Alligator mississippiensis: one gene and its partner. The protein of the gene in region 1 purifies or fractionates together with the protein of each later gene. This does not show direct contact. Links are inferred from orthologs where the notes say so. Each region holds a gene or a part of one and is shown on either strand. Other genes may lie near its edges.

Region 1 (3,746 bases):
CTCATTCATGTTTGCTGAGGATTGGGACACTTAAAACTTGCATCCTTTAGTGATATTTCTTCTCTGTTGTGACATTTCTACAGAGTAGTCTTCCCCCCCTAAAACACCATCATTAAAAACCCTTGCAAGATTGCAAAGAACACCCTCTTCATCTTCTCTACCTGGTAAATCTAAATGGGAATTTCAGACATTTTGGTCTCAGCAGCAAAGAAATGGGAGATACAGAATGAACTGCGCTCCATATTGATTCTTAATGCAAATAAGGTGAAATAATGCATGTTTGTATGAAGATATAAATGCTCTTGGTGAACCCACATACCCCATAATCTTTATTTTAAATAGAGATTGAGACAGATAAGTTTGGAAATAATCAAAGAAAACAGCAGAATACCTCATCTTTAGAGATCCTTGTGCAAGAGAGAAAAAGTGAAAAGGAACAGTTAAAAAGTCAATAATATAATCAAAGTGAAATGAGGGGGGGAAATTGAGAATGGAAGAGAATTAAACCATTTGCTAAGAAAAATCTGAATGCTATGTAAAAACCTTACATACAAGCCAAAAAAAACAGCCCCTATGGGCTGACCCTGTTTATTTGCATGCGTGCACACACACACAGAAAGACAGTGGAGAGAAATGCAACGAAGATGCTGCATGTGTGTACTATTGCCTATGCCTGCAACTGGAACAGAGATAGAGAATAAAGATCTCTGAAAGAATTACTGCTGCGAAATGAAATGGATGGGGGAAAAAAAAGGGGTAAATTAAGGCTTTTCTGCAAATGGCCAAATGCAGGAGACAACCACCTTACGTTTCTAGCTCTTCCAGTAAATAAAAAGTAACAACAATTATCACCCTCCAGTGATGTTAGCACAGAAGAGATGCAAAGAAAGGGGGTGCAGGGAGGGAATGTAGAGGGAAAGGGAAAGGAAGAGAGTGTAAAGGGGGGGGCGGGCAGGGAAGAAGTAAAACTGAAGGTAAGAGGAAAGGGAGAGAGAAAAAACAGCTCTGGGTATACAGCTGGGGCAGTAAGAGGGTGGGGGCTTGGGCCCCTGAGACTGACCTGTGCCGTCGCTGGCGGACACGGAGAGCGCCGGTGAGGAGAGTTTAGGCCGCTTGGCTGAAGACGGGCCCGGCTCCACCACATTCTCGGCCATTTTTAATTCTTTTTTAGACAAACAGCGCAGGAGGCTGGGGAGGGGGGGAGGGAAGGGGGAACCCCAAGATCGCCCCTTTCTCTCAGGGCCCTGATTCAGCTGAAGAACAACAACACGGAGAGAGAGGCAGGAGGATCTGGAGGAGATGAAAGCAGGGCAAGTTCCCCTTTTTCTGCCCTTCAGGCTCAGTCTCTAGGCGGGTGGCAGCGGAGACGTGGGGCAAATGCAGGCAGCAGGGTGGGGGGGAGAGAAGGGAAGCCTTTCCCCCCAGGCCAAAGGGCAGCTGCGGATGAGAAGAGCAGCTGGGAAAGCCCCGGCCAGCAACAACACTGCCAATTTTTTTTAAAAAAAAGATTAATAACAATAAATCAAATTTAAAAAAAAAAATCAAGCTGCCAGAGGCCGTGTCCGATTAATCCCAGCGGGTGCACTGCTGCTGCTGCTGGTGCTTCTTCACCGCCACCATCATCTTCATCATCCTCCGGGGGGTCTCCTCCTCCTGCTGCTGCCGCTGCCTCTTCACCGCCGCCATCAGCCTCTTCCTCCTCGGCGTCGTCCTCCTCCTCCTCATCGCCACAAGGAGGCGGGCGAAGGAGGGGAGAGAAGGAGGAGGGGGGGAAAAAGAGGAGGAAAGGGAAAAAAAAAAAAAAAAATCACCGTCCTCTAGCAGCGCCTTCCCCCTCCGACGCCGCCCTGCGAAAAAGCCCCGCGGCGGGGCCGGGGAGGGCGGCGCGTGTGCGGGGCGCCCAGCTCCCAGCCGGGCCAGGCACTAATGGCTGCAGCGCGGGGAGGATGAGGAGCGTCCCAGGAGCCTCCGCTTCACATCTTGCTGTGCGGGCGCCGGAGCCGCGGCGGCGCTGGGGGTCCGGCCGGGGCGGCGGCAGGCGTCGCTCGGCGTCTCGGCAGCGCCCCCCCCCGCGCGGGCAGATGGAGCGATCCCCCCGCAGCGGCGGCGGTAGCAGCAGGAGGAGGAGGAGGAAGCAGCCGGCCCCTCCCCCCCTCTGCCTACAGCCCCCCTCTCGAGCGGGCGAGGCCGGGGCTCGGGCGGGCCGGGTTGTCCCCGCGGGGCGCGGGGATGGCGACTCCCGGCCTCCTCCGCCCCTCAGGCGCGGCGCAGCCTCCCTCTCGCCTCCGCCATGGCCGGGGGGTGGGGGGGGCGGCGGGGGGCGGGCGCGGGGCGGGATCCGGGCTGTCCTGCCCGGCTGCCGGCTGCGAGGGGAGGAGGGCGGCTGAGGGGGTCCCGGCGCCTCTCTCTGCGCACTCCCCGCCTCCGTGCGGCTCTGCCCGTGCGGCCGGCGCTGGCCCAGGCTCCGGCTCCCTCCCTCCCTCAGTCGCTCGCACACAAACAAAATGGCGGCTGTTGTTTCTTCGCTCTCCCGAGTCCTCCGAGAGGGAAGCGAGCGGCGGCGGCGGCAGCCGGAAGTGAGCCAAGAGGCGGGGGGGAAGGGGCGGGGCCTGAGGGGTGAGGGGCGGGGCCTGGCGTCGCGGCCGGGCTCGCGCACACAATGGAACGCCGGGGGGTGCGGGGCGGGGGGGTGGTCACGAGGCGCCGACAGCCACTCAGCGCGCGCCGTGCACCGCTCCCTTCCGCAAACTCCCTCCGCCCCGCCCCCCCTTAAAGGGGAAGGAGGAGGAGAGGCCAAAGCCCCTCCTAGCCTCCCTGTGCTCGGCTTTTCTGTTTCTGTCGGCCGAAAAGCGCTGTGGTGCTTGGGGCAGGCCCGTTGTCATGCCGGGGCTGTCAGGCAGGGGGTGGCTGCGCCGCTTGCAGCGGGGCCCCAGAGCCTTGGCACGTAGCAGCCCCCCAGAGCTCCCTTCAGGCTGCGCAGCCCGTTAGTGCGGAGGGGGCGACCTGTACGAGCCAGCAGGGCTGGGCCCGGGCTCCACGCATGGTTCTGCGCACGCAGGGGTGGTCCCAAGCCTGTGGGGGTTTTGGGGTCCGTCTGCACCGCCCCACACACGCTGCGTCGCCCCGTCCTGCTTCCCTGCGGCCTTTGGACGCCAAGCACGGCAGGAGCGGCCAGGCAGAAAGTGCCCTCGCTCGCTGCTCCGGGAGAGGCAGCTTTGCTTACTTGAGATCTCGTGTGGGCTGAGGTGGTTCGAGCTTGGTGCTAATAACGCCAAGGTCCTGGGTTTGTGCCCTGTACGGACGGACGCTCTACGCACCCTTTCCTTTCCTGCCCAAGTGCAGGGGGGCCGGACCCCGTGATCTGTAAGGTCCCTTCCAGCCCCCAACAACTATGCAACTATCAAGTGGGGGCATCTGATTGCCAAGACCTCCGGGTTTGGGCCTGCACGTAGGACGCCTGCCGATGGATGTGGGCGGATCTGAAGTCCCTGGGATGGAGGATGCTCCCGGTTGTAGCGCCATACATGGTGCTGCGAATGATTGAGTTCTGCCTGCTCAGTCCATGCGGGGTTTGGAACGGCTGAGTTCTGCTCAGCCAATATCATTTGGAACCGATTGGGCTGATTTGACCTGGAACACGAAATATATTAATTTAAAAAAGAATGTTGTGTTTAAGATAACCAGCCATCCTCGGAGGTGGGCAAGCGTTTAGATTTTGTTCTGCGACCTCTAACGCTTTCCCAGCA
Region 2 (3,746 bases), on another chromosome or scaffold:
TGTTGAGGGGGCAGATGTGACCGGGGGGGGCAGCACATGGTCGCGGGGGGTGTTGAGGGGGCAGATGTGACGGGGGGGGCAGCATGTGGTCGCGGGGGTGTTGAGGGGGGCAGATAAAGTCCGGGGGGGGGGCAGCACGTGGTTGAGGGGGGCAGATGTGATGGGGGCAGCACGTGGTTGCGGGGGGGTGTTGAGGGGGCAGATAAAGTCCGGGGGGGGGGGGGGGCAGCATGTGGTTGAGGGGGGCAGATGTGACGGGGGGGGGCAGATAAAGTCCCGGAGGGGGGGCAGCACATGGTTGAGGGGGGCAGATGTGACGGGGGGGGGGGGCAGCACGTGGTCGCGGGGGGTGTTGGGGGCAGATGTGACGGGGGGGCAGCATGTGGTCACGGGGGGTGTTGGGGGGCAGATGTGACTGGGGGGGCAGCACATGGTCGCGGGGGGTGTTGAGGGGGCAGATGTGACCGGGGGGGGGGGGGGGCAGCACGTGGTCGCGGGGGGGTGTTGAGGGGGCAGATGTGACGGGGGGGGGCAGCACATGATCACGGGGGTGTTGAGGGGGCAGATGTGACGGGGGGGCAGCATGTGGTCGCGGGGGTGTTGAGGGGGGCAGATAAAGTCCGGGGGGGGGGGCAGCATGTGGTTGAGGGGGGCAGATGTGACGGGGGGGGGGGCAGATAAAGTCCCGGGGGGGGGCAGCACATGGTTGAGGGGGGCAGATGTGACGGGGGGGGCAGCACGTGGTCGCGGGGGGTGTTGGGGGCAGATGTGACGGGGGGGCAGCATGTGGTCACGGGGGGTGTTGAGGGGGGCAGATAAAGTCGGGGGGCAGCACGTGGTTGAGGGGGGCAGATGTGATGGGGGGGCAGCACGTGGTTGCAGGGGGTGTTGGGGCAGATAAAGTCGGGGGGGGCAGCATGTGGTGGGGGGGGGGCAGATAAAGTCCCGGGGGGGGCAGCACGTGGTTGAGGGGGGCAGATGTGATGGGGGGGCAGCACGTGGTTGCAGGGGGTGTTGGGGCAGATAAAGTCGGGGGGGGCAGCATGTGGTGGGGGGGCAGATAAAGTCCCGGGGGGGGGGGGCAGCACATGGTTGAGGGGGGCAGATGTGACGGGGGGGGGCAGCACGTGGTCGCGGGGGGTGTTGGGGGCAGATGTGACGGGGGGGGCAGCATGTGGTCACGGGGGGTGTTGGGGGGCAGATGTGACTGGGGGGGCAGCACATGGTCGCGGGGGGTGTTGAGGGGGCAGATGTGACCGGGGGGGGGGGGGGGCAGCACGTGGTCGCGGGGGGTGTTGGGGCAGATGTGACGGGGGGGGGCAGCACATGATCACGGGGGGTGTTGAGGGGGCAGATGTGACGGGGGGGGCAGCATGTGGTCACGGGGGTGTTGAGGGGGGCAGATAAAGTCCGGGGGGGGGGCAGCACGTGGTTGAGGGGGGCAGATGTGATGGGGGGGGCAGCACGTGGTTGCGGGGGGGTGTTGAGGGGGCAGATAAAGTCCGGGGGGGGGGCAGCATGTGGTTGAGGGGGGCAGATGTGACGGGGGGGGGGCAGATAAAGTCCCGGGGGGGGGGCAGCACATGGTTGAGGGGGGCAGATGTGACGGGGGGGGCAGCACGTGGTCGCGGGGGGTGTTGGGGGCAGATGTGACGGGGAGGCAGCATGTGGTCACGGGGGGTGTTGAGGGGGGCAGATAAAGTCGGGGGGCAGCACGTGGTTGAGGGGGGCAGATGTGATGGGGGGGCAGCACGTGGTTGCAGGGGGTGTTGGGGCAGATAAAGTCGGGGGGGGCAGCATGTGGTGGGGGGGGGCAGATAAAGTCCCGGGGGGGGCAGCACGTGGTTGAGGGGGGCAGATGTGATGGGGGGGCAGCACGTGGTTGCAGGGGGTGTTGGGGCAGATAAAGTCGGGGGGGGCAGCATGTGGTGGGGGGGCAGATAAAGTCCCGGGGGGGGGGGCAGCACATGGTTGAGGGGGGCAGATGTGACGGGGGGGGGCAGCACGTGGTCGCGGGGGGTGTTGAGGGGGCAGATATGACAGGGGGGGCAGCACATGGTCGCGGGGGGTGTTGGGGGCAGATAAAGTCCGGGGGGGGGGGCAGCACGTGGTTGAGGGGGGCAGATGTGACCGGGGGGCAGCACGTGGTGGCGGTGCCTGAGCTGGGCCCTGACCCCGTGCCGCCCCTGCCAGGCGCCCGGGAGCCGGCCGTGCACGGCGCCATGAAGGTGAAGATCAAGAGCTGGAACGGGGTGGCGTCCTGGCTGTGGGTGGCCAATGACGAGAACTGCGGCATCTGCCGCATGGCCTTCAACGGCTGCTGCCCGGACTGTGAGTCGCCGCTCCCCGGCCCCTGCCCCCAAGCGCTCGCTCCCTGCTGACCGCTGTCCTTGCCTCCTAGGTAAGGTGCCCGGCGATGACTGCCCCTTGGTGTGGGGCCAGTGCTCGCACTGCTTCCACATGCACTGCATCCTCAAGTGGCTGAACTCGCAGCAGGTGCAGCAGCACTGCCCCATGTGCCGGCAGGAGTGGAAGTTCAAGGAGTGACGGCGCCCTGGGCTGCAGTTCGGCCTCCGGGTTCCCTCTCCCTGCGGCCTGGAGCAGCAAAGCGTTGGTGTGGCATCGCGCGTGTGCCAGGCACTCGCAGGGACACCAAGCAGGCGCAGGCCAGGCCCCAACACACTCTGACTTCCCGCAGACGCAGAGCAGCTCCCGGCTGCCGTGAGCAGTGCGGATGTGGCTACATGTCTAACATGTTCCCAACGTTCGTGCGAGGACCCCAACCGTGGCAGTCGCATCCACACAGCACCTCTTCCCTCCGTGCAGCCCGAGCTGGTCGGCTTTTCCTCTGCCCTGTGCCTTGTGCCTACAGGGTCTGTGCAGCCCCCATTCACCTGGGTGAAAGGGCAGCAGGACAAGGTGGATCCCATATTGCCCTTCCCGTGGCAGCCATCAGTGTCTCCACGAATATGTGAGTCCTTGTTTGGGCACTGAACATGGACACCCCTGTGCCTGACGTTTTAGGCGCTGCTACTGCTGGCTCAGCTCTGCCCGGACCCAGACAGAAACATCTTGTTCAAACGTGCCAGGAGGCCGAGTGAGTTTAGCTGAACCTGTCCCCTGCCTGTGCCCTGAAAAGCCCTCTAAGGCCTGGCCTGACTCCACCTTTCTCTGGCCTCTGGGAGGGCTCTAGTAGCTGCCTCAGGCTGTTCCTCCTGTGCCTCCATGTGTGGGCATCCCATGTCCTGTTCCCTTGATCAAATGCTCTTGCGTCCTCTCAGCTGCTGAAGGTTTGCTGGTGCTGCTTGTCACTCTGCATCCAAGCAGGCTGCTCCCACATGTTAGCAGCCGTGGGAGGCTGTTGGCTCTGAGCGTTAGCAAGAGCGCCAATGCTGCCATGACCTGGAGGGTCAGGGGCTGCAGGCCGGGCACGCTCCTCAGCAGCAGCATCCTGCGCTCTCTGAGTCTCGGCCGCCGGCCTGATGAGACCTGCTCCTTTCAGGCAGCCTCCAAGCAGCAGCAGCATCGGCTAATTTCCAGCTGCGACGTGTTGGTACGTGGATTGGTTTCAATAAACCCTGGGCTGTGATTCATGGTTCTTGCTGCTCCTTACTGTTGTGGGCCCAGGGGAGCTCTTGTGAAGGCGGCTGCCCACCCACAGACACCGAGGGGGCGACTGAGTCCATGCTGTTGACAAGGACTCTTCCTGGATGTGCAGCCAGGTGGCAGGATGCGACCTGTGGCCC

Evidence for each region. Proteins that work in one complex are often made in the same cells at the same time.
Region 2: the proteins of EP300 (region 1) and ALYREF purify together in Homo sapiens (affinity purification with mass spectrometry, with the first as the bait; 3 studies listed by BioGRID). This does not show direct contact. The link is inferred for Alligator mississippiensis from reciprocal best matches to the Homo sapiens genes EP300 and ALYREF.

What each region holds. Positions count from the first base shown.
Region 1 is NC_081827.1:97,652,505-97,656,250, forward strand, and holds the start of EP300 (histone acetyltransferase p300), read right to left. Parts: upstream 2,561-3,746; 5' UTR 1,155-2,560; coding exon 1,061-1,154; intron 1-1,060. UniProt on the Homo sapiens protein: Functions as a histone acetyltransferase and regulates transcription via chromatin remodeling. Acetylates all four core histones in nucleosomes. Histone acetylation gives an epigenetic tag for transcriptional activation.
Region 2 is NC_081831.1:485,445-489,190, reverse strand, and holds the start of ALYREF (THO complex subunit 4), read right to left. Parts: upstream 2,341-3,746; 5' UTR 2,306-2,340; coding exon 2,194-2,305; intron 1-2,193. UniProt on the Homo sapiens protein: Functions as an mRNA export adapter; component of the transcription/export (TREX) complex which is thought to couple mRNA transcription, processing and nuclear export, and specifically associates with spliced mRNA and not with unspliced pre-mRNA.